Linked DNA regions of Cricetulus griseus. The protein of the gene in region 3 purifies or fractionates together with the protein of the main gene of each other region. This does not show direct contact. Links are inferred from orthologs where the notes say so. Each region holds a gene or a part of one and is shown on either strand. Other genes may lie near its edges. The genes, in order: Stx4, Stx12, Slc7a1 and heparan sulfate 2-O-sulfotransferase 1.

What was found.
Region 1: the proteins of Slc7a1 (region 3) and Stx4 purify together in Homo sapiens (co-immunoprecipitation; 3 studies listed by BioGRID and IntAct, counting the BioPlex papers as one, with this or other methods). This does not show direct contact. The link is inferred for Cricetulus griseus from reciprocal best matches to the Homo sapiens genes SLC7A1 and STX4.
Region 2: the proteins of Slc7a1 (region 3) and Stx12 purify together in Homo sapiens (co-immunoprecipitation; 3 studies listed by BioGRID and IntAct, counting the BioPlex papers as one, with this or other methods). This does not show direct contact. The link is inferred for Cricetulus griseus from reciprocal best matches to the Homo sapiens genes SLC7A1 and STX12.
Region 4: the proteins of Slc7a1 (region 3) and heparan sulfate 2-O-sulfotransferase 1 purify together in Homo sapiens (co-immunoprecipitation; 3 studies listed by BioGRID and IntAct, counting the BioPlex papers as one, with this or other methods). This does not show direct contact. The link is inferred for Cricetulus griseus from reciprocal best matches to the Homo sapiens genes SLC7A1 and HS2ST1.

Annotation. Positions count from the first base shown.
Region 1 is NC_048596.1:72,931,437-72,939,145, forward strand, and holds the start of Stx4 (syntaxin-4), read right to left. Parts: upstream 4,035-7,709; 5' UTR 3,904-4,034; coding exon 3,874-3,903; intron 3,713-3,873; coding exon 3,611-3,712; intron 3,555-3,610; exon of another isoform or gene 3,533-3,554; coding exon 3,433-3,532; intron 3,292-3,432; coding exon 3,217-3,291; intron 2,356-3,216; coding exon 2,285-2,355; intron 1-2,284. UniProt on the Homo sapiens protein: Plasma membrane t-SNARE that mediates docking of transport vesicles. Necessary for the translocation of SLC2A4 from intracellular vesicles to the plasma membrane.
Region 2 is NC_048595.1:20,381,383-20,389,147, reverse strand, and holds the start of Stx12 (syntaxin-12), read right to left. Parts: upstream 4,562-7,765; 5' UTR 4,451-4,561; coding exon 4,333-4,450; exon of another isoform or gene 3,819-4,332; intron 2,387-3,818; exon of another isoform or gene 2,146-2,386; intron 1-2,145. UniProt on the Homo sapiens protein: SNARE promoting fusion of transport vesicles with target membranes. Together with SNARE STX6, promotes movement of vesicles from endosomes to the cell membrane, and may therefore function in the endocytic recycling pathway.
Region 3 is NC_048597.1:84,183,269-84,190,283, forward strand, and holds part of Slc7a1 (high affinity cationic amino acid transporter 1), read right to left. Parts: coding exon 6,913-7,015; intron 3,571-6,912; coding exon 3,468-3,570; intron 872-3,467; coding exon 654-871; intron 405-653; coding exon 238-404; intron 1-237. UniProt on the Homo sapiens protein: High-affinity, low capacity permease involved in the transport of the cationic amino acids (arginine, lysine and ornithine) in non-hepatic tissues.
Region 4 is NW_023276806.1:14,689,839-14,696,649, reverse strand, and holds part of heparan sulfate 2-O-sulfotransferase 1, read right to left. Parts: intron 4,259-6,811; coding exon 4,161-4,258; intron 2,352-4,160; coding exon 2,194-2,351; intron 1,836-2,193; coding exon 1,606-1,835; 3' UTR 1-1,605. UniProt on the Homo sapiens protein: Catalyzes the transfer of a sulfo group from 3'-phospho-5'-adenylyl sulfate (PAPS) to the 2-OH position of iduronic acid (IdoA) or glucuronic acid (GlcA) within the heparan sulfate (HS) chain and participates in HS biosynthesis.

The DNA.
Region 1 (7,709 bases), on a different chromosome or scaffold from region 3:
TAGGGAGATGGCTGAGCCTGTAAAAATGCTAGTTGCGAAAGCATGACAACCGACTTTCAATGATCCCAGACCCAGGTAAAAAGCCAGATGCGGTGGTGTGCCACTGTAATCCCAGCATGCCTCAAGTGAGATGGGAGGCAGAGGTAAGAGACTCCTAGTGCAGCAGCAGACGCAGACAGACCCCACCTAGGAGGAGGAAAGCCTATTCCTTAGACCTCAACATGAGTACCGTGGTGTGCATGTGCACACACGCACACACACACACACACACACACACACACACACACACTCACACTCACAGAAACAAACACATACTTTCTGAGTATTAGTGATTGACACCAGGGCTTCATGCGTGCTAAGCACAAACTCTACCACTCAGCTCTACTCTTCCCCTCATTTAAATTACACTCCTTCCCCGGGCCAGCACTTTCCCTCTTTTTATGCTGTTTTGTAAGCCTGGTGGGGTGGCCAACTCCTTTAATTACAGCACTGGAAGGCAGAATCAAGGATACCTCAGCATAGTGAGTTCCAGCGCAGTGAGATCTTGACTCAAATAAACAAAAAGTAAAACACTTATTTGGTGACTGTCTTGCCTCACTAGAATGTAAACATCTTAACGGTAGAATTTTTAGTTTAAAAGTCTGGCACACTGGTACTCAGTGTGCATCTGCTGAAAGCTTCTGAAGAGCAGCATTGCTGTTTAGACTGCAGGTACACTCATGGACTGCAATGGCACCACGCTACTGGCATGGAACAACAAGATGTTCTCATACCACAGCTACCACAGGTCCACTCTTATGGTGCATTATCCCCCATCCCTCTCCTGATTCCTTAAATAAGCTTATTCTCCTGAATCCCCACTCCTGCGCCCTTTCAAGATGCCTACCTACTCCAAACCTGACCTCCATAAATCCCAAGCACTCTTCACCATGCACCAGAGGGGCCCAGTCAAGTCACGTGAAATCTCCTCACTCAGACACTGCCTGGCATGACTTCTTCTCCACCAGAATTCCTCTTCTTCCTTTTACAAATGTTCTTTTTGTTTGTTTGTTTGTTTTTGTTTTTCAAGACAGGGTTTCTCTGTGTAGCTTTGGAGCCTATCCTGGCACTCACTCTGGAGACCAGGCTGGCCTGGAACTCACAGAGATCCGCCTGCCTATGCCTCCCGAGTGCTGGGATTAAAGGCGTGCGCCACCAACGCCCGGCTACAAATGTTCTTAAAAATATATTTTATTATGTGCCTTCATCTGTGGTATCCAAGGAGGTGGAGGGCCTCTTCCTAGAGCTGGAGTTACAGATGGTTGTGAGCCACCTGACATAGGTCACAGCTGGGAACAGCTGAATTCAGTTCCTCTGCAAAAGTGGTGTGTGCTAAGCCATCTCTCCAGTCCCTACATCATACGTTAATATATGTCTTTACTGTGTATGCACGGGGCAGGGCATGTGTGCCATGGCACATGTGTAGAAATCAGAGGACAACTCCCAGGAGTCAGTTCTCTGCACCCCATGGACCTGGGGCTGAATTGGGTTATAAAGCTTAGAAGCAGACACCTTTACCCACTGATCCGTCTTGCAGCCCCTCGCCATCTCTTAAATTCTATCTATGGGGCCAAGGATGTCCTTGCTTGTCATTTTAACTTACATTTATTTATCATTTATTTATTTATTTTTGGTTATTCAAGACAGGGTTTCTCTGTAGATCAGGCTGGCCTCGAACTCAGAGATCCGCCTGCCTCTGCCTTCACACTTGGCTCTTATTATTATTCTTTGATTTATGTGCATTGGTGTTTTACCTACATGTATGTCTATGTGAGAGTGTTAGATCCCCTGGAACTGGAGTTACAGATGGTTGTGAGCTGCCATGTGGGTGCTGGAAATTAAATCTGGGGCCTCTGGAAGAGCAACCAGTGCTCTTAATTACCATTTTTTATTTCTCTCTCTTCTTCCCTGAACAAAGCTATTAGTGACCAAGTCCTACATGAGAAATATCTTTGTTCCCTTTTCAGTCCAAATTCCCCATTTCAGTTTTGGGAAAATATGTCTCTCATAGCCAGGACAGAGTCATGTCTGACATAGCAAATTCTCTTTGAATGGCGGTGGCATGGTGTTATAATGGATTGAGAATTTTGTGACTGGGATCCTCTACCTAGACCAAATAAGCATAAAGGAAATTCATCAGGACAGAGATCCCAGATTCAACGGTCTGTAAGGGTTGCCCAGTCACCAGTTAGTAATCTAAGAAACACTTGATGAAATGTCCTAGTTCTAGGAAAATGAAACCAACCTGGGTTTTTTTCATTCTTGTGTTGACTGAGTTATAATTCTCATCAGCTTCTTCCTTCTGAGGCTCTATGGCTGTGGGAGAAATACGAGGGTTGATGGAAAGAAAAGCTTGCCCTGAGACTTCTAAAAATTGGCTGGGAGGCTAACTGATTTCTGTCTGGGCTAGCCTGATCTACCTACTGAGTCTCAAAAAATAATTAAAAAATTGAAAATACATAATAAAAAATTTTAAATGAATCAAAAAAAATTGTTTGGGTACCAGAATACAGGGCCACATCTACATTCCAGCCACATAATAAGGAAGTTCTTGTCTTCGTAGGATTTTTTTTTACAAAGTGACTTATGAGCAGGGATATATTTTAGTAGTGACACATGATGGAGGAGGAAGGGGGAGGAGGAGGAAAAAAGAAGGAACTAGGAGGAAGAAGAAAGAAGGAAGAAGGGGGTGAGATCAGCCAACTGGACCTGGTTACGGCAGGCCTTTAATCTCAGCATTCAAAAGGCAGGGAAAGATGGATCTCTGTGAATTTGAGGCCAGCCTGGTCTACATAGGAGGAAGAGGTGAGGGAGGGGGAGGAGGAGGCTAATTCTGATCTTCTAAGAGAAGTTTTTCTTTGTATTACATCAGTGGGTTCCCACAAGAGTGAAGGAGCCTCCTAAGAAACCCTCATCCATCTGCTCAAAGAACACACACTGGGCTTCAAGAACTGTAGCAGCAAGTAGTTTTGAATTTAGATGTAAAAATAGTAATAAAGGAATCTGAGAGGCCAGCATGTAATATATGCAAAGTACCAAGGCTTAGATGCCACAGGGCAGAGATCCTAGACCCAGACCTGCTCTGTGACCTGATATATCACTTGACTCCCCAGATACACGAGCATCAGGGCTGAATCACTGGGGATGATCTGGCTGAGGCCCTTGAAGTTCATTCACCTTTTAGCTGTGCCCGGACCTCTCTCCCCAGCTGTTTGATCTCCTCGCGCAGGTTCTGCAGGCCCTGCTTCATGCCTAAATGAGAGAAGGCCAACACTTCCAAACCACAGCCTCCACCACAAACCAAAACCAACCCCACCCCCGGCCAACATCTATATAGGACTACATCCCCCATAATCCACCGGGCTGGCGTACGTGAACCCGGGTTTCGCTTACTCTCCTCGGGAAGGGGCGTGGCCAGAATGGTGACCTGCTGTTTCTCCAACTCCCGGACTTTACTCTCCAGTTTGGCCATAGTTTGCCGAATTGCCTGGACCTAGAGAGGATCACCAAGGGAACTGAAGACATAAGTGGTACTGTAGTCCTCCCTACTGCTCGGTCCTCCGGGCCTTACCTTCTGGAAGAACTCGTCATCTGGGCTGCCCAGCCGGGCGGTACCTGGGTGCACCACCAGCGCGACTCGAGCCTCATCTTCGTCGTCCGAGCTGTTGTCCCCCTGCCAGGGCCGGAGTCATTGGCACCACTCGCTCGCCGCGGTTCTCGCCCCGCAGGAGCTATGGGCTTCCGGGATTTTCCTTCCTGGCCGTCAGCCACCCCTCCCGGACCCCAAACCAGGAGTCCTCAGTCCTGCGCGCCCGCCGGGCCCCAGCTCCTCACCTGCCTCAGCTCATGGGTCCTGTCGCGCATGGCGGCCCGAGCGCCCGGTCCCTGGACCTGAGCCCCGAGGGCCTCAAGGTTCTAAGTTTGGAAGTCCTGCACGAGCTCTCTCTCACTTGACACCCCCTTCCTCACCCTGCGAACCCCCAACGCCCCCACGAGCCCCCAGAGGTCCCGCCCCTTTCACCATGCACAGTCGCCGGGGAGAACCCGACCATAGGACCCCCAAAGTTCTACAGGTTGGAATTCCCTTCTCTTCCCCCCATCCTGCTCCCGCAGCCGCAGCCCCGCCCCTCGGGAGGATGACTCGGAGCATGCGCACGAGGTCTTGTCTCTTCCTCGCTAGGGGGAAAAGGCGGAGGTCGGAAGCAGTCGCGGCCGAACGGAAGCGAGGCCGCCTGGATCGAGAGCCCGTCCGCCCCCCCCCCCTTTCTACCGGAACATCTCATATTGGGACTGGAATCTAGTTGCCCAAAGGGTTGGGGATGCGTCATTTGCACGCAGTCTGAGAGCCTCGTATCTCACATCACCCCATGGCGCCCCCTCATCACGTGACAGACCTGGCCCCGCTCCGCCGGCTGCACGCCCGACAGCCGGTCACGTGTCCCGGCGCTGTCAGCGACGTCTCGGACTTCAGTCTCGCGACGTCCCCGATACCCCTGAGTCTGAGCTGTACCCCTTGCAGAAGGTGGGGAGGGGTACACCGACAGCTCTCAGCCACCTACAGAGGAGACCCTTGTAGACTTCACTTTCTGTTTTAATTTGGGGCCCTAGGGCGTGGGCGATCTGAAGACTTAAATTTGGGGGCTGTCAGTATCACGAGACCTTGAGAGTCAGAACATAATGAGATCGGAGGCTACAGCGTCAGAGGATTGCAGGGTTTTGTAGGCAGACAATCTGGGGGTGGGAAGTGACCTCAGCCAAGGTGGAACTCTTCCCCCTACACACCCTGCGTCCTCCTGGCACAGCCTCTGACAGGTGGGCGGCCTACGCCCTGTGTGAGCACTGCAGTCCCGCTGAGCTCGCCACCTTCAGATTTCAGAGCAGCTCAGACTGAGAGGAATGTATTGTTACCTCCGCAGCCCTGAAGTCCTAGCATGACTTGCTTTTCTTTTACGGAGTCCCCAGCACCAAATTCAGAGCTTGCTACATAATAGGCCCTCACAGCCTTGATCCGAATAGGAGCCTTTCATGTATCTGAAACTAAAGCCTGTGGCTTCTCTCACCGTCCCATTTCCCCAGGTTTGTCTCTCTGGACATATTTATTGGGCACATACTATAGAGCAGATATGTTTTAGGGGCTGGTGACACATCAGAAGCCAACAGACTAAAACCCCATGCACTTGTGGGGCTGTGATGCTTTTCCCTTTAGAAACTCCTGGATTTGGAAATGAGGGGGTGAGGATAATATGGCCCTGACCACCCCGCAGAGGGATGCGGTGTTGGTGGGCTTCTCAGGAGGCCCAGCTCTGCCTAGTGTGGTCCCCTGAAAATAATGTGGAGAAAAGTGCCTACTGTGGGGCCTGACTTTCAAGGTGTCATGATGCTGTCAGCCCCCAAATGGAAGTCTTCAGTTTGTCCATGCCCCTGGGGAACCCCCCAAAACAAACCAAAACATGAATTCTGCAAGGGTATCTTTGCCTATTAACTGCTGCCTCCCTGTTCAATTGCTACTTCCCTCCTACTCATCCCCTCCCTCTGACTCTCTGTTAGTATTACAAGGGGGGGCGAGTCGGGAGGTGACCTTAGCCTGTCTCCTAGCCCTGTATGTGATCGAGAATGTCTCACTGTTTCCCTCAGAGATGCAATTTTCCCTCTTGACATCTTGGTCTGACAGTTTCTTCCTTGCTTAGGGTAAGGATTGGAGGACATCAAGAAAGGTTAGGAAAGATGTGGTAGGTCTTGTAGACTGTTAAAGCTCTTATGTGAGCTTTGCTGCTGTGAGCTTGTGAGTTCTGCCTCTCTCTCTCTCTCTCTCTCTCTCTATCTCTCTCTCTCTCTCTCTCTCTCTCTGCCTTTCAATCATACCTGCCCATTTCCCAGCCTCTTGGCCTCCAGCGGCAGTGTGGAGTTTTTGGTGCTTCTATTAAAGCATCTCAGGCTTATAATATTCACTATTATTTCATTTGTGGTCTCTGGGTGTGATCACAGGTATTAAGATGATAACTTAAGGTTTAGGACACTGGGACCTCAGTATTTTCTGACTGTCAAGGTCTCATGATGCTGACAGCCCCCAAGTGGAGTGATGTTTGCCTCCGCTGAATGCTGTGTTCCGCCTAGGCCCTTTGTAGCCTTGAGTCCCAGGTTTATATAGTGGGTCTTGGGTGTGTAAGTATTAGTAGAGTATATACTTCTTCCGTTCTGTCTGAAACTCAAGCTGTCCATGGTCCTGAGGCTAGCAGCCTGTCCTGTCCTCACTGCCTCAGGTCTGATCCTCCCAACCCCAGCACCAGATGACCTGGGCTGGGATTCCTGCTCATTCAGCTCTATGAGGCAAGTCATTTAACCTCTCTGCTTTAGTTCCCATCTGAAAAGGAAAGGAGAGCAATAGCATTAAACTCCTAGTGTTTGATAAGTATTAAATAAGAAACAAGAATAGAATGGTGCCCACTGTGGCTGTCGAGTGTGCTTGCTATTGCTAGATGGTGATGATGGTGGAGACTGTTCCACTGAGGATTTCAGTAGCCCAAAGTCTGTGCCAGAAATTCCACTCTGCCGATTGTCCAGGATCTTCCTTCCGAGCCCCACTGTGCACCAGGTGCTCAGGCAGCAGTTTTGCCAATCCTGTATATCTCTTCTGTTTCCACCAGCACCTCTCAGGCCCTATATTTTGCTTACCTCTAGAATATAAACTTTAGAGGACAGGAGTTTTCACCTGCCTTATTCACTGCTGAGTCCCCAGTATCCACAACAGTACCTGGCACATACTAACTAGCTAGTCATGAATGAATGGAATTCTTTCTTTTGCATTTAATATTTGTATAACATTTAATATATCTGTGAGGCACCAATATAAACATTTTATAATTTTAATTCATTGAGCTTGGCATGGTAACACATGCCCATAATCCCAGTACTTGAGAAGTAGCATCAGGAGGATGAGGAGTTCAAGGCCAGCTTCAATTACTTACCAACTTTGAGGCAAATGGAGGTTACATGAAACCTCGTCTGAAGAAACAAAACAAGGGCTGTGTGTGGTAGCTTAGCTGGCAGCGCACAGAGAACAAGCATGAAGTCCTGGGTTTTCCCCTAGTCCCACATAAACCAGGACAGTGATACCCATTTGTAATCCCAGCACTCAGGAAGTGGAGCCAAGAGAATCAGAAGTTCAAGATCATCCTAAATTACATAATGAGTTTGAGGTCTGCTTGGGCTACAAGAAAATCTAGGAAAAAGAAAAGCATTGCAAGCCACATGACAATTCTATGAGATAGAGGCACTGTCGCTGTCTTTCTTTTCCAGAACAGAAAACTTGAACTGATATACCCAAGGTTACATATCTAGTAAGTGCCCTTAGGATTTGAAGCCAGACCGGCTCTAGGGTCTGTCCTTAGTGTGTTGGTTTTGTTGAGTTTCTTGCTGAATACCTGTACAGCAGACAGACCTGGCCAGAGGGGGAGTGGGAAATGAACTGCCAGACAGAAGGACTCCCCCCACCCCCACCCCTGCCCTCCTTCAGATGTTTTGTTTTTGAGGTAGGTTCTGTGTATGCAAATCTGAAGCTCACTGAATAGTGGGGCTGAGTAGAGAGGTGTGGGGTTACAGAACTATGCCACCATAACTAGGGTTATGCATTGCTAGGGACTGAACCCAGGACTTTGGGCATGTGAGGTCAG
Region 2 (7,765 bases), on a different chromosome or scaffold from region 3:
TCTTAGATTTTCATGGGTGAGTGGATATGTGTTTTTGAGCAGCCATTCTCACAGAATACTTGGGTGTGTTGGCCATGACTTGTAGAAGCTTGGTTGCAGGCACTAGATAGTAGACACAACACCACCTACCAATTTCAAATTCCTAATTCCCACACAGCAATCCCAAGAGAAGAAATTTAAGTTATACTACCTAGGATGTATAAGTAAGATAGCACAGCATTCAAAGAGAAAGAGGCAGGAGTCCAAAACGACAGAGGGGCCTCACTCACTCACTAGTAGTAAGCTTTAAGAGTCTATGGGGCGTGCCCCGCCTATCTGTCTGACTTCTGCTTTGCTCCCTTATCCTTAACCCAGCCACACCTGCCTCCCTGCCATTTTATCACATCAAAGTCCTTAGACCTGCCCTCAGCACACATTACCTTTCTCGGCTGCTCACAAAGCTCCCTCCCTCCATTCTGGTATCTGCTCACTCAATCATCTTCCCCCCAGAGAGGCCTTCCTCGCCAGCTTATCATCTGTCCCTTCTCCCTTCCCTCTACACCTGCTTTCTTTCTGTCAAGCACCTGCTACTACTTGATATCACTTGTATGAACACATGCAAATGCATGCAAACATCCACACGGCACCAGGCAGCAATTCATGCTTTGCTCTATCCAGTGGACAGAAGCGCTTAAAGAATGCTTGTCCACCCTGAATGAATAAACCCATCATATATGCTTGGGACTGAGGTAAATAGTAGAAAAATAAAGATGAATAAGCCACGTTTCCTAGCTCAAACGAGCTAACAATCTAGCAGGGAAGATGAACATATTACAAGAAACCACAGCTTCCAGTACACACATACAGACATATACACATTCAGCTAGGCAATTCTTTAAACTTTCTCAGTCAGTTTCCTAATCCATAGGCCAGGGATATTTGTAATGATTTCATAGGACTGTTAACATGAATTAAAATATTACATTACCCCCCCCCAGGTGGAAGTGGTAAAGCCTTTAATCTCATCACTCAGGAGATAGAGGCTACGAGATCTCTGAGTTCAAGGCCATTCTGGTCAACAGAGTGAGTTCCAGGACAGACACAGAGAAACCCTGTCTTGGAAAAAAAAAAAAAAAAGATATCACATGTACTTTTCATACTGCCTAGCACACTATGTACTTAAACAGTAGCAAGTAACACATTAATTGTCAACTCTAATGATCCCCTTGAGTCCAATGCCTGATCAACAGCTAAATCAGTATCTATCAACAAGGAAACTGCTTTTATTTCCACACACACACCTTTTCTTATTGTTTGGTTTTAAGACTCACTCTATAGCTCAGGCTGGCCTTGAACTCGTGGAAATTGTCTTGCCTCAGCCTCCTGAGAGATGGGGTTACAGCCCTGACTCATCATACCTAGGTTTTGGCTTTTCCCTGTTCCCCTTCCCTCTCCTGTTTTCCTTTTGATAAGGGTCTCATTATATGGCCCAGGCTTGCCTTGAACTCACTATGCAGTTTAGATTTGCCTAAATAATGGCAATCCTCCAGCCTCACACTCCCAAACACTACAATTACTGCTATGCCCAGCTTCAAATCTAATTTAAGTAAACACAAATTTGCTGTTAAAAGAATCTATACCAGGATGTGAGGGCGATCTGTCTGCTAATCTGTCACCCATTGATCACCAGGGTTGATTCGGCTGATCTGGCTGCTGTATCTGTCACCCATTGATCACCAGGGTTGATTCGGCTGATCTGGCTGCTGTATCTGTCACCCATTGATCACCAGGGTTGATTCGGCTGATCTGGCTGCTGTATCTGTCACCCATTGATCACCAGGGTTGATTCGGCTGATCTGGCTGCTGTATCTGTCACCCATTGATCACCAGGGTTGATTCGGCTGATCTGGCTGCTGTATCTGTCACCCATTGATCACCAGGGTTGATTCGGCTGATCTGGCTGCTGTATCTGTCACCCATTGATCACCAGGGTTGATTCGGCTGATCTGGCTGCTGCATCTGTCACCCATTGATCACCAGGGTTGATTCGGCTGATCTGGCTGCTGTATCTGTCACCCATTGATCACCAGGGTTGATTCGGCTGATCTGGCTGCTGTATCTGTCACCCATTGATCACCAGGGTTGATTCGGCTGATCTGTCTGCTGTATCTGTCACCCATTGATCACCAGGGTTGATTCGGCTGATCTGGCTGCTGTATCTGTCACCCATTGATCACCAGGGTTGATTCGGCTGATCTGGCTGCTGTATCTGTCACCCATTGATCACCAGGGTTGATTCGGCTGATCTGGCTGGCTAGGAATCACTGGCTCCCTCACTGCTCCATGTGTGCATCTTCCAAAGCTGCCTTCGTGCTTGGTCATAGAGGAGGACAGTCTTCGGTCAAAGGTATACGAGTAGCTGCACTCCTCAGCTAGAACCTCCAAACAAGCTCTCAAGAATCTATGCCAGGTCCTACACTTACTATACAGCTTAATACTTAAATACAGACTATTCCACAGAAAGATATTCAAATTAGGTTTAATCTTAGTGAGAAAACTTCAGCCTTGAAACAAAATTCTCTTTCTTTTTTTGTTTTGTTTGTTTTTCAAGACAAGATTTCTTTCTGTGTCCCTGGCTGTCATGGAAGTAACTCTGTAGACCAGGCTGGCCTCAAACTCACAGAGATCTGCCTGCTTCTGCCTCCTGAGTGCTGGGATTAGAGGGTATGCCACCACCACCCAGCACAAAATTTTAAAAATTTTTATTTATTATTTTTGAGTGTAAATGTGGAACATACATACAAACTAATGCAAACACACACAGTACACTTGCAGGTAAGAGTGTGGAGGGCAGAGTACAACTTTGTGCAGTTAATTTGTCCCTTCCACCTTTACATGGGCTCTGGGGAGCAAAGCAGAGCAAGCACTTTACCCCTGAGCCATCTTGCCTGCCCCTTGAACCAGGATTTTCTGATCTAACCTGTATTCCTGCTCCTTGACAAATGAGAACTGGAACACAAAGTACCATACTTTCTAAGCATCGATCACATTATTGTTGTTTTTAATATCTGGGTTTCACAAGCTGAATGTTCTTCCTACCACCAAACACCTACTCCTAACCCTACCCTCACCAGAAACCTACCTCTCAAATTCTACAATTTACATTTAGATTTAAAAGCAAAGTGACAAGCTGAGTTTGGTAGTACACGACTTTAATCCTAGCACTCGGGAGGCAGAGGCAGGTGGATCTCTGAGTTCAAGGCCAGCCTGGTCTACAAATAAGTGAATTCCATGACAGACAGAGCTAGAGAAATTCTGTCTCAAAAGTAAAATAAAAGCAATGCAAAGTGACTGCTTTAAAGTGTAGAACATAATTGTAATTCAGAACTGACCCTAACAGTATAGTTAAGCTCTCTAAAACACAATAACACAGATAGTTGTCACCTTTTTTTTTTTTTTTTTAAAGTAAAGCTGCCTCTGTTGTTCTGTTCACAAGGCTCTAGGCTGATTCTGAATCTCTAGAAACAGCCTGTATTTGACTCTCAGCTACAATCTTAGACTCTAATGGTGAGGAGTGAGTTTTAAGGCAAGCAGTTACAGACTACATACTCACTCGGTATGTAGTTGTAGCCAAGCGTCTCTGTGTATCAGATTTATACAAGAATAGCTCAACTGAGACAAAAAACGAAATATCATGCTTGAAATTTAAAAAAATAAATACTTCTTTGCTACAAAAGACAACGTAAATTAAAATGTTCCCGGTGCATTCTCTAACAAAACAGGAGTCCTCCCACCCCTTAAATACCAGTCACTGACTCTGATTTCCAAATTAATTACAGGAAGCACAGTGTATTAAGTCACCCAAACACACGCATTCGCCACTTCCCTTAATTGAAAGTTGCTGATGTCCCAGGACCCAACCGCTGAGCAGAATGTGAACCTAAAAGCCCTTAACCAGCAAGCAACCCCTGATCCAAACTGTGGAAAGCGAGGTGGGTGGAGAGACGGCGATGACAGGGAAAATTCGGCTGACCACTGCGTCAAGTCAAGACTGTTGCTCACAGTCCTGGAGATGACACACACTCCCTCCCACCCTCGGGCTGTCAAGTAGGCTCTGTTGACCCAACACCGTGAAATCACAATGCCTGAGACAGGGGTGTGGACCTGAAGGGCCCGAGCCTGACCGACCCGCCGAAGGCAGCTCGCCGCGCCCGGAGTGGAGGCTCTCGACGGCCTCGGCTGTGGCCCTGGCTGCGACCCTGACCGGGCTCCGCGTCGTGGCGACCTCAGCCAGGCCTGTCCCTCGGGTCGCCCCCCGCGGCCCCCCGCTCCCAGCTGGGTCCCCTCGCTCACTGGCTTGACTGATCCGCTGGATGTTGCCACTGCACGTCTGGATGATGCTGTTGAAGTCCCGGAGCTGGGGCCCCGAGGGCCCGGGATTCCGATACATGTCTAAGGGACCGTAGGACATCGACAACGAGCAGAGACCGGGTCGCGCTTCGCGGCGCTCCTACCGGAAGCTGCCAGTAGCCAGGCTCCGCAGCTGAGAGGAAAACCGGGAAGAGAAAGGGCGGGGGGCGGGGGGGAAAGGAGCGGCGACTGCGTGCGCACTGACCCCGCCCACTGACAATGCGCACGCGCACGCGCACGCTCTGCCCCTCCCCACCCCACCCCCCGCTCCCGTGGTGCGCGTGCGCCGCTGTCACTTGAGAGTTTTCAAACTGCTGGCAGAGCGTGTCCCCGCAGAGCCCCGCGCTCGGCCACGTGCCGCCCGCCTAGATGCCGGTCCGCATCCTGCTGCTGGGCGCAGCATTGGCGCTTAGCCACCCTGCAAATCTTTGCTTTTCCAACCCGTGTCAAAACCGAGGTGAATGCATGAGCGTGGGATCGGACCGGTACAAATGCGATTGTACCCGGACAGGATTCTATGGTGAAAACTGTCCAACACCTAAACTTCTGACAAGGATAAAATTACTGCGGAAGTATACGGCCAACATGGTGTACTCCATGCTTGCTTACTTCAAGGGAATCTGGAACACTGTCAATAACATTCCCTTCCTGCGGAATTCAGTCATGAGATAGGTGTTGCCCGCCGGGTCGCATTTGATTGACAGCCCACCAACTTACAAGGTGCACACCACACCTACAAAAACTGGGAAGCCTTCTCTAACCTCCACTACCACAGAGCCCCTCCTGCTGTAGCAGATGACTGCCCAACTCCCATGGTGTGAAAGGGGGGAAAGGGCTTCCTGATTCAAAAGGTTATGGGAAAAGTTCATCCCTGGTCCCTCCAGATTTGGGGGATGCTAGACAGGGCAAATGACATCAAATAGCTGGGAGCCCATTGAATACGTTTTCCCAGTCATCTTGTGTCTCCCCAGAGTCCGCTGACAGCATGCAAGAATTTTCGATTTGCATAAAAGTGTATGAGATTTCCTCAACCCTACTTCCTATTCTGTTCTGTTCTGAGAACCCAGACTCAAATATGGGAAATTAAGCAATCTTGAGCTTCAGATCTGTAGCCAATTAGCAACTCTTACGGATTGCAAACTACTTTTATTCCTCCCTCCAATCCTAATTTAAGCAATAAACTAGTAACATTTGTTGGGCACATACTGTGTGTGAATCCTCACTTTAGGTCACTGGTTCATAAACACTTCACAGCAAGGAAGCATCTCATTTTTATCTATAAAGTAGATTTTAAAAATTAATTTTTTTTTAGCCGGGCATTGGTGGCGCACGCCTTTAATCCCAGCACTTGGGAGGCAGAGGCAGGCAGATCTCTGTGAGTTCGAGACCAGCCTGGTCTACAAGAGCTAGTTCCAGGACAGACTCCAAAGCCACAGAGAAACCCTGTCTCGAAAAACGAAAAAAAAATTAATTTATTTTTGTTTTATGTGCATCGGTATTTTGCCTGCATATATGTATGGGTGAGGGTGTTAGGTTCCCTGGAACTGGAGTTACAGACAGTGGGTGCTGGGAATTGAACCTGGATCCTTTGTAAAGGCAGTCAGTTCTCCCAACGGCTAAGCCATCTCTCCAGGCTCTAAAGTAGATTTTTTTAAATGTAATATAACATAGAAAAGCAAGCATTATTTTCCCTTTTACAGGTGAGAAAATTAAGACCAAAGAGTATTGATCACTTTGATGTTTAATTGGAAACCCAAACACTAAGCTAACTCTATCTCACAACTTCCATAAAACTCATTCCCAGGGCTGGGGAGACAGATAGCTTAGCAGGACAAAGGCACTTGCTGTCAAACCTGAAGACCTGAGTTCAATCCCATGGGTCTACATGGAGAAGGAGACACCAGCAAATTGTCCTCTGGTCTCCTCTACCTGTTGTGCCAAGCAACACAGACACAGGCACACGCACACACACACACACACACACACACACACACACACACACACACACACACTAAAATGCAATTAATTTTTAAATGTTTTTTTAGAACATCATTGCTGTTATCCCAAGTTCATTATCTGTGGAAGTTCCTTCCAAAAAGTCTGCTCATTTCTAACAGGTAGCCTTGGCTAGCCTGGAACTCCTTATGTAGACCAGGCTGCCCTCAAACTCATAGATTATATCTACCTGCCTCCGAGATCCCAAACAATTTCTTAGATAACTCCTGAAAATTTGAGCACTTTGGAATCTAGCTGCAAAATGATTTCATAGAACTTCATTTTGTGGGTGGCATGTGGTGAAAGGGGGAACATGGACGGGACTTTGCACTGAAGGGACCTGAGGACCAGACATGAAGGGGCCAGGAGTTGCCTGCATTCTCCACCCCACCAACTCCAGCATGCTATAGTCTCAGAAACGAGAAGAGAGGAAGCAGCTTGTGAGCAGCAGCAGGGATTCCAAACGTGTGAATGAGCCTGTCTCCACCTCTAGGGATTTTTAAAATAATTTATTTAGCTTTATGTTATGTGCATTGATGTGAAGGTGTCAGATCCCTTGGAACTTGAGTTATAGATAGTTGTGAGCTGCCATGTGGGTGCTGGGAATTGAACCCAGGTTCTCTGGAAGAGCAGCCAGTGCTCTTAACTCCTGGGCCATTCTCTCCACCCCCCACCTCTAGAGATTTTAAAGCAAGGCTATCTCTATTTTTAGTTGGAATTCACTTATGACAGTATTTCCCCTTGTATACAAAGGGACAGATTAGGCCTGTGAAAGTTAATCAGTGGCAGAGCACTAACCTAGCGTGCAGAAGACAGGGTATTTGCTGGGCATGGAAGAACAAACCTATAAGCCCAGCCCTTCAGAGGCAGAGAGTTCTAGGCCAGTCAGGAATGCATAACAAGACAGTGTCTTTAAAAGAGGGGGGGCACATGGAGGCTTTGATCTCAGCCCTCTGGAGGCAGAGGCAGGTGGATCTCTATGAGTTCGAGAACAGCCTGAACTATAGAACTAGTTCCAGGACAGTCAGGGCTACACACACACACACACACACACACACCACACACACACACACACACACACACACACAAACACACACACACAAACCAAAACAAAAACCAAATCTCAAAATAAAAAATTTAAAAGAAAAGAAAAGCTGGGCATAGCTGCACATGCCTGTCTCCAGGCACTGGGGAGCAGATACATATGGGTCCTCAGATTTCACTACTCAGCCAACCTAGGCATAGCAGAGAAATTCCAATTCAGTGAGAAATTCCAGCTCAAGGCATTAATGCAGAGAGCAAGAGAAGAAATTCTACATCCTCTGAATGTGCACATACTAGCTCATGAACCTGTGTATTTATGTGCACACAACAACACAGA
Region 3 (7,015 bases):
GACCAGGGAGATAGAGAAGTTCCTATTTCCAGAGACAAGCCCTGACTTAGCATGGCATTTTGTGCTCCAAGAGTTCCTGAGCTTAGCTGGCAAGAGTTATCCACAACCCCATATCCCCACCCCCACCCCTACTGACATTCCCAGGTCTGGCTTAGCCAAAAAGTCTCAGTTTCCCAACAGAAAAACAATGTCTGTGACCTGTCAGTATACTCCCTACAGGCCTGCCAAGCTGCTCACCTTAAATGAGAGCTTGGTTTTGCTCTCAGGCTGTCTCCAGATGATGCCTGTCACCAGCATGCAAAGGAGGACCGACCCTGTCATCACAAAGACTGCCCACAGTGTCCCTTCAGCTAGAGCCTCTCTTGCAAGCACGGCCACAATGCACACGATGATGATAAGAACAGCTAAAAGAGAAAAAAAGGAGAGTGGGGGAGAATCCCCGTATGTATCATACATCTTTCCAAATCTTCCGAAGGAGACCCAGTGTCCAGGTCATGAATTAAATGACAATGAAAAGCTGTTGTCACTCGTCTTTTCCATTTACCCCCACCCCCCAATTGCAACCCAACTCACATCCCTGTGGACCAGAAACCACACAACACCAAGAAGCCAGACTCCAAAACCCTTCCCGGGGAAAAAGGTGGGTATCTTACCTAGGAGGCTTGCTGATACATTCACAATGAGCCCTGAGAATTTGGATGGTTCCAGATTCTTGGGTGAGAGTACCGTTTTCAGAGAAAACTTCTCGGCTACTGGTAAAAAGCCTGTCTGGGAGTCACTGGCGCTGACCAGCTCATTCTGGTCAACTTGATCCAACTCATCGGTGGTTCTGGCCATCTGGTATACCAGGTTAGGTTGCTCGGGCTGGTACCTGTAAAGACATGCCCACAGCATGAGTGCTGTTATCTGCTCTTGTTTCCATTCCCAGCCCCACATGGAGGCTCATCACCTCCTCAAGCACCAGCACACAAAGTGAACAGATGGACATGCAGGCAAAATACACGTAAAGTAATAAATATAATAAAATAATAAAAACAAATATAAATAAAATTGAAGGTGGGTCTCAGTGAGTTCAAGGCCAGCCTGGTCTACAGAGCCAGTTCCAGGACGGCTAGGATTACAACCCTGTCTCAAAAAAAAGTCAAAAAGAAAAATAAATAAAGAAAAGACACACACACACCTTTAATCCCAGCACTCAGGAGGCAGAGGGAGGTGGACCTCTTGTGACTTTGAGGCCAGGCTGGTCTACAAGTGAGTTTCAGGCAGCCAAGGCTGTCGTCACACAGAGGAACACTGTCTATACCCCTCCCCCACAAAAACAAAGATCAGATTAAGTTCTCAATGAGCCTTTAAAGATAAGGTGCCTGAGACACTGGACATAAATGGGTAGAATGGTGCAGTATTTAGCAATACAAGAACAAAGGACAGATCAAGTCCTTCCTTCTCAGGCCAATACTCAACCGTGGTGTCTTCACTTTGGGTAGAATAGGGAAACCATTGGGAAGTGGTCCAATGAAATGTCCCAGAGAGGTTCTCTTGATCAAAGAAGTAGCAGTAGCCCTTGAATATGACAATGTTAGGGCACTTCTCACCAAACCCTTGTTGCCCAGAGCTCAAAGGGAGTACAAAGTCAAGAAGTGCTAACACTGGCATTCCACTTGCTGTAGGAAGCTGGAGAGTCATTGACTACTGGTGGATGGGTAAGCTCTGTCTGCATGACCTAACTGGACAAAGCTATTCTAAACCTCTAAGTGCCTTGGAGTAACTACAGAGCCAGCCATGCCTGTGGCATGACTTCCAAGACACAAGCTACCCACAGATGAAGCATACATTCATATGACGTGGTTCCTTGCCTTTCCAACTGGACAGGTTCTCACTAGCTTTTAAAAGCAGAATACCTTTTGACTTGTTTTGCAGATGATCAATTCCAAGCACAAGAAGAGTATGCAGCGAGATAGCTAACTGTTCTTCCCATAGACCCACAAATGCATGGTAATTTGGCCAATCAAGAAAGTAGAACTCAAAGAACATGTTGGTGTTATGCCTCTAGAATTGAACAGAGGTCCATGAACTTGCCTGAGCTGAGCCTGCAACATCTCTAGTAGGAACCAGTCCAAGTTTTATGGAAATTGAATGCTGAAAAAAAATGAAGCTATTTGCCTTCTAAGGAGAAACACCTGAAAAGAGGGAAGCTCTGGCTGGGTGACTGTTATAGAATACTATTTTAAGATGTGTTACATTTGTTTTTATGCTGTGGAACATTTGCTTAATGATGCAAAGATTTGTTGCATTCTTTTATGTTGCATTTGTTTAACTCTGTGAGCTGTGTTACTTTGCCTGTCTGAAATATCTGATAGGTCTAATAAAGAGCTGACCTGCCAATAGCTAGGCAGGAGAAAGGATAAGCAGACTGGCAAGCAGAGAGAATAAATAGGATGAGAAAAAAAGAAAGGATGAGAGATCAAGGAGCCAGAAAAGAAGGGGCCAGCCACCCACGGGGTGAAAGTAAGATATACAGAAGTAAAAAAAAAAAAAAAGAGAGAGAGAGAGAGAGAGAGAGAGAGAGAGAGAGAGAGAGAGAGAGAGAGAGAGAGAGAGAGAAAAGCCCAGAGGCAAAAGGTAGATGGGATAATTTAAGAAAAACTGGCTAGAAATAAGCCAAGCTAAGGCTGGGCATTTATAAGAAAGAATAAGACTCCATGTATGATTTATCTGGGAGCTGGGTAGCAGGCCCCCTCAAAAGCCAAAAGAGTAAAGAGTAAAAAACCCCAATAACAGGTGACAAACAACAGTCATTGTGAATACATGTTCTCATGACAAAGGCCTTAGAGCTCTCTGTTCCTCCATGTCCAAGCAAAGTTGGAGCCCAGGCATGTGCTTTGGGCACTTCTGGGTGGGTGAGACACTATGGCACCAAGCTCCTGTAGCCCTAAAGCCTTTAAAAGATACACAATTAGAACCCAGTGTCCAAAAGCTACACCACACCATGTTATGGGGTTCACTCCCAAGCACCAGTAAAAGCAGGCTACAGAAGCACCACATGGACCTGGGTCATAGGCCTTAGATTCTTCTGATGTAATCTAGGGCTAGCCCCCAGGATCATTTTTCCCAACAATTGGGCCAACTGAAGTCATTGCCCTAAGCCTTCTAAATTTCATATCCCAGATTCAGATCAATGCTGCTGTTGAGGACATTTAGCCAGAGAAACAGAGGACATGATAGGAGGAAGCAGCTCGTGTGCTGGGAGGGGGGTAGCACATGGATGAGACAAGACGACAAAACGGGGGAGGGGGCAACCACTGACTTCACCCCACCTTCTACTCAGCAGCCCCCAACAGAGCTAATATGGCCTGAAAATTGTACCTTATAAACTTACAAACCATTTGTCAGAACGGTTAAAAAAAAAAAACCCAGCCATAATAGGGTTGTTTAACATTTGTCGTGGAACCCAGGAAAGCCATACATACCTTAAGACTAATACACAGGCAGCCACCAAAGAGTAAGCCAGGAGCGTGCCAATGGACATGAGGTCTACCAGGTCCTTCAATTCAAAGAGGAAGGCCATCACAGCTGGGGAGAAGACAGACATCAGCTTGCAAGTGGCCCTCTACCCGACCGCACATCTGTAATTCGGGGTACTCCCAGTCCCACCCTCACTCAGCCATTGTCCAGGAGACAGACATTGCTCAGGTGAAGACAGGCTCAAGAAACAGTAGAAATAATTAACATTGAAATTTGCATAGAGCCGGCTGGAGAGATGGCTCAGTGGTTAAGAGCACTGGCTGCTCTTCCAGAGGACCTGAGATCAATTCCCAGCAACCACATGGTGGCTCACAACCATCTGTAATGAGATCTGGTGCCCTCTTCTGGCCTGCAGGGATGCACGCAGACAGAACACGGCACACAAAACAATAAATAAATAAATAAATCTTAAAAAAAAAAAAGAAATTTTCATAGAGAATACTTTTTTTTTTGGGGGGGAATAATTTTTCAAGCCAACTCAACACTACAGATGAATACTGTAAGTAGCAAGTTGAGCTAAGGATATACAGCTAGTAGATGGGAGAGCCAGGATCTGCATCAGATTCTTGCAACTCTGACCCTACTGTGACTTCTGCCACATGTTGGTGACTCACAGACAGCCACATCCACACGACCATCTGTACATCTATCTTCCACCCATTCATCTTCCTCCATCTATGGTCATTCATCTGTATTCCATCCATCCATCCACCCATCCTCCATCTGCTCATGTCTTTCTTCCGTTTCTGCAGCCATCCTCCATCCATTCTCCCATCCACCATTCCTCCCTCCCTCCATCCATGCTCTATTCATACATGCGTCTATGGCGATACCACCCTGAACGCGCCCCATCTTGTCTATTCACACATGCATCTATCCATCCTTGTTCCATCCATCCATGCTTCAGTCATCCATCCACGCATCCTTCCTTCAACCACCCACTCCTCCTCCATCCACCATCCATCCATTCAGCCAGCCAGTCACTAAGTTCTAGGTACCCAGCCTTGAAGAGGGCAGACCACAGTGTCTGGCCTCCTAGAGTATCATCTAAAGATACGTGTATCAGGAGATGATGGTGATGGGAAGCCTGCTCGGGAAAGACTCACAGGAGCTCCTACTCTAGGCAGGTAAGTAGGGAAAACAGTTATCCTCACGTGTGAAAAGTTTCAAAGGTATTCCTAAATGGTACTATCCCTGTCACCAAACAAACCTTGCCATCCTGCCCCCCCCCCCCGACTTCGGTCTTTAGAAGAACTGAACATACATGCTTGGGAGGTCTGGGCCTGTGGTAGAGCACTGGCCTAGTACGTACAAGATCTAGTGGCATGATAAACACGTGTTTATTTAAAAATTCCCCGTGTTCTATTTATGTCAGTATATTATGTCAGTTTTCCCATTTAAAAAATAATTTGGCAGGATCTACTTGGGATATTTTCAAATAATATGTAAATCAATACAAATTAAAGCAGAATCATGGAACTATCCATTTCCCACACACATCTTTGAAGCCCCACCAGATCAATGCAAGCCAAGCAAATTTAAATTGATAATAAATAGTTAGATTAGAGAAGCAGTGGAGGCCTTTCATATAATTGGAACACTTTTGGATAGCACATGCCACCCTCGCCTCCATTCGTGCTCACAGAAAAAAAAAAAAAAAAAAAAAAAAAAAAAAAAAAAAAAAAAAAAAAAAAAAAACTGCTACCATGCCAGGTGATTTTAGAACACCAAATATCAATCCTACCAAAAGGGGAAAAAATGGACCAACTCTTGGTTTGGCAAGTGGTGTGTCCTTTACAGCCACTCAAAAGGTCATGGTTTGACCTCCTTTTGTGAGCACAGCAAGGAAACTACATCAAATTATGTGGGAACTTAACAAAGTCCTCGGTCACTGCAGTGACCTGATGCCCCAGAACCTACTACGGTAATTACATGCAGAACTATTGGTAAACAATTTTAAATTTGTTTTCTTTTTTTAAATATAATAATAGTCACAAAACTAAAATACTTTATTAAGGTATGAATACTAATAAATCATTTGCTCATTTAAGATGGCCAATTGTCAGCCAGGTGGTGGTGAGGCATGCCTTTAATCCCAGTCCTCAGGGGGGCAGAGGCAGGCAGATCTCTGTGAGTTTGAGGCCAGCCTGGTCTACATAGTGAGTTCCAAAACAGTCAAGGCTACCCAGAGATACTGTCTCAAAAAACCAAAGATAGATAGGTAGATAGATAGGTAGGTAGGTAGGTAGAAATGGTCCATTGTCTTACTAGTAGCCATTTGATAAGACACTGAGATACAAATTGTATGGTACCCTGTGTCCTGAAAGATCAAAAACAGACCCGGTGCTAGTCGGATCCTGCAAGGAACTGCTTCTGGCATGAACACAAACAGAAATCAAGAGCAGCTCAGCCTTCCTGGGTGTGACCCTGGGCCTCTTCAGGCCACCACTTCTCCAGCTGGACACGAGGAAGTATGCACATGGGCTTCCTCTGGGTCACCCCCCTTACCCCCATCAGATGGCTTAGAGATCCTTTAGTGCACCTAGTTCATCTACCACAGCTGCACTCTTGGGGATGAACATGATGATGGCAAAAGAAAACTTCCTTGGCTCTGGGTCTACCACTATTTGAGGGCAAACAGCAAAACCCTGTATATGCCTCCTGGGAGAGAGATGGTGCATGTTTACAAAAAAATGACTGTGAGGGACATTCATGCTCCAGGCAATCAATAAGCTAATATGCATGGACACTAGACTTGCTGGTGTTTACCCAAGAGTACTTTTGGCTTGGATTACGCAAGAGGCCACCCTCCCAAATTCTACACAGGGAAACACTAGGCAGGGATGATGGGTGGCTTTGAAGGAATGGTTGTGTGTTTGTGAGCTTTGCCTATAGAGACCACTGTAAGAGTTAAACTCTAAGAATAACTCCAACCCATCATCTATAAACCTGCCTTCACTGTCTTTCATCAAATGTACAGTTATCTAGGAGTGGAGAGACAGCTCAGCAGTTAAGAGAATTGGCTGCTCTTGTAAAGGACCCAAGTTCAGTTCCCAGCACACACGTGTTGGCTCACAACCATCTGTAACTCCAGTTCTGGGGGATCTGATGCCCTCTTCTGGCTTCCATGGGTACCAATCACACACTGGGTGCACATACATACAGGCAAAACACCCATCACGTAAGCCAAACCTAAAAATATTTTTTTTCATGCAGTTATATTTTCGTGAACCAGGTTCTGAGTGTAAAAAGCTATAGTTTCAAAAGCTCTAATGGATGAGTTGTGGCTTTTTTACAGTTCCCACAGACAGGTAAACTTCAAGATGCCTCGCTAGGAATGCTGGCTTAGTTGTTCAAACAGTAGCACCGGAAATAAATTCCAATCTTTACCAGCAATGGCGCCTGAGGTCAGTGTAGCAATTACTGGTGTTTTGGTCCTCTTGTTGACTCTGGCCAAATATTTAAACAGTAGTCCGTCTTCAGCCATGGCGTA
Region 4 (6,811 bases), on a different chromosome or scaffold from region 3:
GCTAAAGAAGGTCCCGAGTCACTAGAGTTCACAGGTGTTTCACATTTCAATAGTTGCTGAAACACAGAAGATAAACATGAAGAGGATATTTATCAAACACAAATTTATGCCAAGATAAAGTTTTTTTCTTCTCATAAAGCTTAAAAGTGAATTTTCCCTTTTTGTTGTTAAAAGAATGGACAGTATGAAACTTATGTTAGTGATACTTCCATTTAAACACCACTTGACAATTCCAAAGTGCTCTCACCATGCCACCGTAGTCCTCACAACAGCTCTGTGAGGTAGGCACAGTAGGCATTAGTATCCTCAACTCAAGATGAGGAAACCGAGGCAAAGAGAGGTTAAGTGACTTGCCTGACGCCACACCACTGGAAGGTAGAGAGCTGAAACCAGAGATCAAATGTTTAGACTGTCTAGTACCCTTTCCATTATCACTATTGCCTCAGGCTGAGTAATGCTCTCTCTCAAAATTGAAAGGCTAGGTTAGTTCATGTCAGAGACATCATAACAGCAAAGTTAAATGAGAAATACAAGAATAGTCTGATGAATTTACTCGACATAATAAAATTGGTGCAAAACCACTTTTTATCTACTGACTTGTAACTTTTTGGTCCAAATACATAAAATATGCAATATTTACAGCATTTTTCTTTTGTAAATGCAATGCTTTAAAACACATTATAAAGCACCGTAGTAAAAATAGTCTACAGGTAAAAGTACAGAGGTAGGAAAATCCTACCATCACAGCTCACTGATGGAGTTGCCATATGCAGTCACCGATACTTCAGTGTACTGGGTTATAGAGAAGCCATGGAGAAACAAATACTAAACTCATTTTTTTTATATGAATGTGTGGAAATCCTTAAGAAAGCCTCAGATAATGTTGTCAACATTCTTAGAAATACCACCCCAATATTAGATACTGGGGAGACAGAAATCAGGAATACTGCTTTTAACTGTTTTGTCTTTTTACAGTATTATTCATGGTTTTCAGTTGATTTCTTTAACACTAATGATCATCCAAAAAATAAAATAAAGCCTACATAAATATGGGCAAACTCAACTACAGCAAAAACAGTTCTGAGAAAACATGATCAAACATTCCAATAAACTCTGTGAGACATGATCCACATAAACAAATCAGCTACTGGCAAATAGTTATTAGCACTATCCAGTAGGGGTGTGCAACACAAAACTCCAAGTGCCATACAGACTCATCTGCATCCAAAGAGAGGTGAAAAAAATGCTTCATCAAAAGCAAGAGAATCACAGAACCTCTTCTGAAATGGTATTCAGCCTTCTGATTAAACCTCCATGTGTGTAATTTAAGTGACATGAGATTTCTCCTCACTGGGAGATTATAGCTATCATGAAAATGAAAACAAAGTAACAAAAGAAATAACAATTCATCACACTTAAGAACTCCTTAGAACACTGACATCCCATTCAGCATCTAATTTCTTGACACTCCTGTCTGTTCCCCAACTCGGCCCAACAAGAACTGGCTCGGCTTGGACTCGATTAGCAGAACAGGTGCAGAAGCTGAGAACAACGGTGACAACACAGCCAAGTCCAGGTTCAAGACTGCTCTGGTCACACTTTCACTCAGTTCGACTTCGGGTAAATCTTTTCATAGAAAAAGTTCTGGGCCAGGATGTAGAGGTCTCCATCTTTCTCACGGACAGCGTGGGCTCTGATGAACTGGAACTGCTCTAGTGCAAACTCGTAGAACTCATTTTCCATTTTCCAAATGTCAGACTGCTGCAGCTTCGCGATGGTTTGCTTGGTGGGAAGTTTCTTCTCTGTGGTTTTCCTCAGGTGGGATTTCTTTCCTACTTACAATGGGAAAATAAGAAAAGTAAATAATTGTTGCAGAGCACACAGACACTGCCTCTTTCCTGTATGTGCTGCAGTCATGGAGGACTTGGGGCAGATGTAAACTTCAGGGAGAGTCGAGTGATGGCATGCTTTTAAACAAATGAAACACCATCAGGGTTGGACTGACTCACAAAGGTCTGGAAGGACACTTTCAGATAAACTACAGCAGACTTAGCACACGACGGCTGTTCCTGTGTTTAGCACTCCCATCGAACCAGTCTAGAAGTATAGTCTAGTTTATTACTCAGTCAACTTGTAAACAAACAAACAAACAAACAAACAAACGCTTTAGAAAGAAACCTATCCTGTCCATACCTGTACGATAGAGGTCTGTAGCACCCCGGAAAAACCGGGGCAAAGCTGCCTCGAGTAGCATGATGAAGTCTTCCAGCTCCTCAGTAACTCCCACCAGAAAGTACTCGTTAATTAGGTTATACTTAGCTTGATCCATAGCCCATCTGCTTCCCACATTCCTGAAACCACACAAAAGGAATTGAACACGGGCTGTGAAACAGGCTAAGTGTGCTCATGCTTCTGACCCTCTGTGTTATGGAGGAAGCAGGGAGGTGAACGCGCTCAGCGCAGCTTCAACCCCCCCTGCAGCGGCGTCTTACGAAGGCGTAACATTTCCAACTTCCTTACTTCCACGTCCCCAGCTTCTGCTCCCTACATGTAGCCACTCAGACGCTACCACAGGTTCTCAATGAGAACAGACTTCAAGGACAGCTTTAAATATACACATCTGTATCATATAGTCTCTTTTTTGACTTCTGTGTGCATCCATGTTTTAAAACTACTCCAAAACTTTGTTCATTCTGAGAGCCCCTATGGGAAAGTCATAGCAATTTTTGTTTAGTGTTTATCTTAATTTGTAAGCTCTGTTTCTTTTCTTTCCATAAGCTTTAGTGTTTCGTGACATGCGGAGAAACAAAAAATAGGTAAGAAATAGCTGTACTAGAAATCTTTCTGTTTACAGTGTCAGCTAAGGCATTAACAGGTCTGATCTTAAATAGACTATACCTCTGGGATCTAATTAGCACTGACATTCTTTCTGCTTTGCTCTAGCTCTGCATTTTAAGTGCCAGTGTGACCCTGTGTTGGCTTCACTTCTTCTTGTCTTCTCAACTATTAAAGGAAAGGCAAAATCACAGACCAAGAAACTGGGTGTGACAGTACATAACTAGTGTCTTGGCACTTGGAGGTGGAGACAGGAGGGTCAAGAGTTCAAGGTCAGCCTGCGCTACAAGAAATTCTATCTCTAAAAAACCTTGGAGGGGAGGAGGATGGGGATTGGTTGGTTTCTAAGGTCTCCCCAAAATATTTCATTGTGTGTGAAATACATGGATTACCCTCTCTAATTAAAACTCAACTAAGCAATATTTTTTACTATTCAAAAGCAGGGCCTGGCAAACTTCTTCTGTAAGAGGCAAAGAGTAAATATTATAGGCCTTGTAGACTAGACGGTTTAAATAACAATAATTCCCCTCTGCTATCTCAGCAGACAGTAAATGCACCCACAATAGTGGCTGTGTTCTAATCAAGCTTTATTTACAAAGAACACGTGCTCAAACATAATTTGGGCCATAGGACTGGGTTCCTTTTCAGAGGAAATGGCTAAAACCTGAAAAGACATCTTCCAATGCTTTCAATTGTTTTTCTTTTTTTGATATTCTTTTTAAATTATTATTATTATTATTATTATTATTATTATTAATTCAAGTTAGGGAACAGGCTTGTTTCACATGTAAGTCCCTCTCCCTCTCCGTCCCTTCACCCCCATTCCTTCTCTCCTCAATTGTTTTTCTACATGATGCTTTGCAGCAGTCTACAAGCAGGTCCTCGACTTTATGTCAACCTATATGGCTCAAATGATCAAGAACGACTTTGGATTTCACTTTGAGAAAAATACTAATTTTGAATGGATTTTCTGCTTCTGCATTTCCTATCAAAATGAATGAATAGCCAGATATGGCAGTGCATACCTGTACCAGAGAACCCAAGGCAGGAGAATCTCAAGTTCAGGCTGGCTGAAGAGTTGGGTAGGCAGTCCAGTGACCCAGCCCTTGCCAAGCATGTGCAGAGTCCCTTAATGCCTTAAAGCAAATGTCTGACCACAATAAATAAATAATGTAAAATTATTTTAAAAACTTGAACACAGAATGTTCTTGGGGAAATTTTTTATTAGAAGTAAAATCCTAGTCCTGACTACCACATTCCTGCCCGTGAGATATGGATTGCAGAGAGATGGAAGACTACCACCATAGTGAAGTTTGTATTCCTACCAGCATTCTGAGCTGTGGCCACAGAAAAATGGGATCTGGAGCCAGAGCTTCTCCGGAGCACAGTCTGAGCCGCCCTCAGCCACACATTCATCAAAGGTCTGCAGCAAAGATAAAAAGAGCACCATTAGCCATAAACCACGCCTCAGGGTAAGAGACAGATTTTTAATCTCTGTATGCCTGTTTGTGAGTGTAGGTGCGCACATGCCATGGTGTCTGTATGAAGGTCAGAACAACCCTGGCTGTCAGTCCTTGCCTTACGTCTTGTTGGAGACAGGGTCTTTTGCTCATCTCTGAGAGTGTTAGGCTACCTGTCACGAGATTTCGGTAATGTTCTGTCTTCAGTTCCCATCTCGCCACAGGACACTGCAAGCACAGATGTGCACTACTGTGCCCACCTTCACACGGGGTCTAGGAAACTGGACTCAGGTCCTTGCATGGCATGGCAAGAGCTTTACCCACTGACTCACCTCTCCAGGGCAAAACTTTTAATGTAACAAGTTACCAAGTAAATGAGTACAAGTGGGTGGGATGAGACCTGTGGATATATGGGGGTGGGGCAGATGGATCAGTGGTTAAGAGCACTTGTTCTTGCAGAGGACCTGTTCAGTTCCCATCACCCACATGGCAGCTGACGACCATCCATACATCCTCTGCAGCTGTTGTTTATGACGTCTGGTGAGAAACACCAACATGGCCCCACTCGCTGTCCCACCTTCCAGGAGTGCTTCCTGGTAGGCTCTCAACACACTAGTCCTGCTTGCTTTTGACCAGGAGCATCCACCCATGCCACATCAGTTCTATGGGCTCTTAAGTATATCCCAGTACCCCAAATCTCTGTAACTTTACTGGAATGTTCTTCCTCGGTAGACTGATTCTACCAGTGAAGGTTTCATGAGGTCCAGCCTTCCAGTTACTCCTCGGGCTGAAAGTCATTTCCTGTCTTTTGAGTTCTGATGGGAGAATGTCCTTCTGTGTATATGTTTCTCTTATTGGTTGATGAATAAAACACTGTGGCCAATAGAGGCAGGGAGATAGGTGGGACTAGGAGATGAGAATTCTGGGAAGGGTAGGCAGAGTCACTTGCCATGTGAGCTGCCAAAGGAGTTAGAGGTCCAGACCCTTCTCAGGTAAGATAAGACCACATGGAAATACATAGATTAATAAAAATGGGTTAATAATTAAGACAGAGCTAGCCAATAAGAAGCCCTAGCCATCGGCCAACAGTTTAATTAATATAGTGTCTGTATGTTTATTTGGGGCTGAAGCGGTTGTGGGACCAGCATGGCAGGTTGGAAACTTTCTGAAACAGAGTTCTATACACTGCCTTGTTAATAACCAGCTCTCAGGAAGGGGACACACTCATCTGCAAGTGTCATGTTCAGTTCCATAACAAGCTTCATGTAGTTTTTATATTCCATTCCTGCTCAACTATGGTGGGGGCTAGAAAAGGTCATGCCACGTGCAAATGCATTTCAGAACACGCTATGGTGCTACACAAACTGTTAGCAGAGTTAGTGTGTGTGTAGTGTTGTTTTGAAGATTGTGATTGGGGCTGACAGAAGTACTAAAGACACAGCACTGGTGAACATAGAGACAAGGTCACTTATTTCATGACACAGGTGAGATAGCACTTCAGCATTTCCCAGAAATTTCCTTATGTGTGTTTAATTTGTATAAGTGGAAAACTTTGGCCTTGACCATTCCATTACTTAGGCATTTCGCTAGACGGACTGTGTAAGGGTGTGGATGATAATGGACTAAACCTCTGAAATTTAGAGGTAAGCCAGCCTCAACTAAATGTTTTCCTTTGTAAGAGTTGCTTTGGTCATGGTGTCTCTTCACAGCAGTAGAAATGCTAAGACAGAAACTGGTATCAGGTACTGGGATATTGCTGTGATAGGCCTGACCATGCTTTTGTTTGGAGGAATGTGGACTTTGGATAAAGCAGTTGAACGCTTTAAGTGCTGCCTAATGGGCCACTCTAGTAAGAGCTGCAGAGGACAAGTGGTGCTGAGAGTGATTTGAACGGTTGGGGGCAGACTCAAGAGGTTTCAGAGAAGAATATTAATGTGTGGCCTAGAGATTATGATATTTTGGTGAAGAATGTGGCTGCTTTTTGCCTTTTCCCCAATTAAATGTTTTTCTTTGTAAGAGTTTCCATGGTCATGATATCTTTTTACAGCAATAGAAACAAACAGGATCTCACTATGTAGATCAGGCTGCCTTGAATTCATAGAGATCTTCCTGCTTCTGCCTCCCAAGTGCTGTGATTAAAGGTGTGTTTAAATCAGGTTGGCCTGCGGCTATTCTTAGGGGAGATTCCCTCTGTTGCATGAGTGACATAAGAAAGCCTGTTGACTATGCTGAAAAGGAGGGGACAGGTACATGGAGGGTCTCGAGAGAAGAAAGGGAAGGGGAAAATACTATTTACTGAAAATAGAGAAAGTGAGCTGAAAGCAAGTATGCATGCATTAGTTAATTATTCTCTGCAGTTGACTAAAGACACACTGGAGTGATACTTTCAGTCTCTGCTACCTTGACTCCCCTGAAGTGAGGGGCTCTGGTCTGGAGCTGTGAGTCAAGTAAATCCTTTCTTCCTTAAGTCGCTTTCATCGGGGTATTTCGTCACAGCAATAGGACAAGAAACTAAG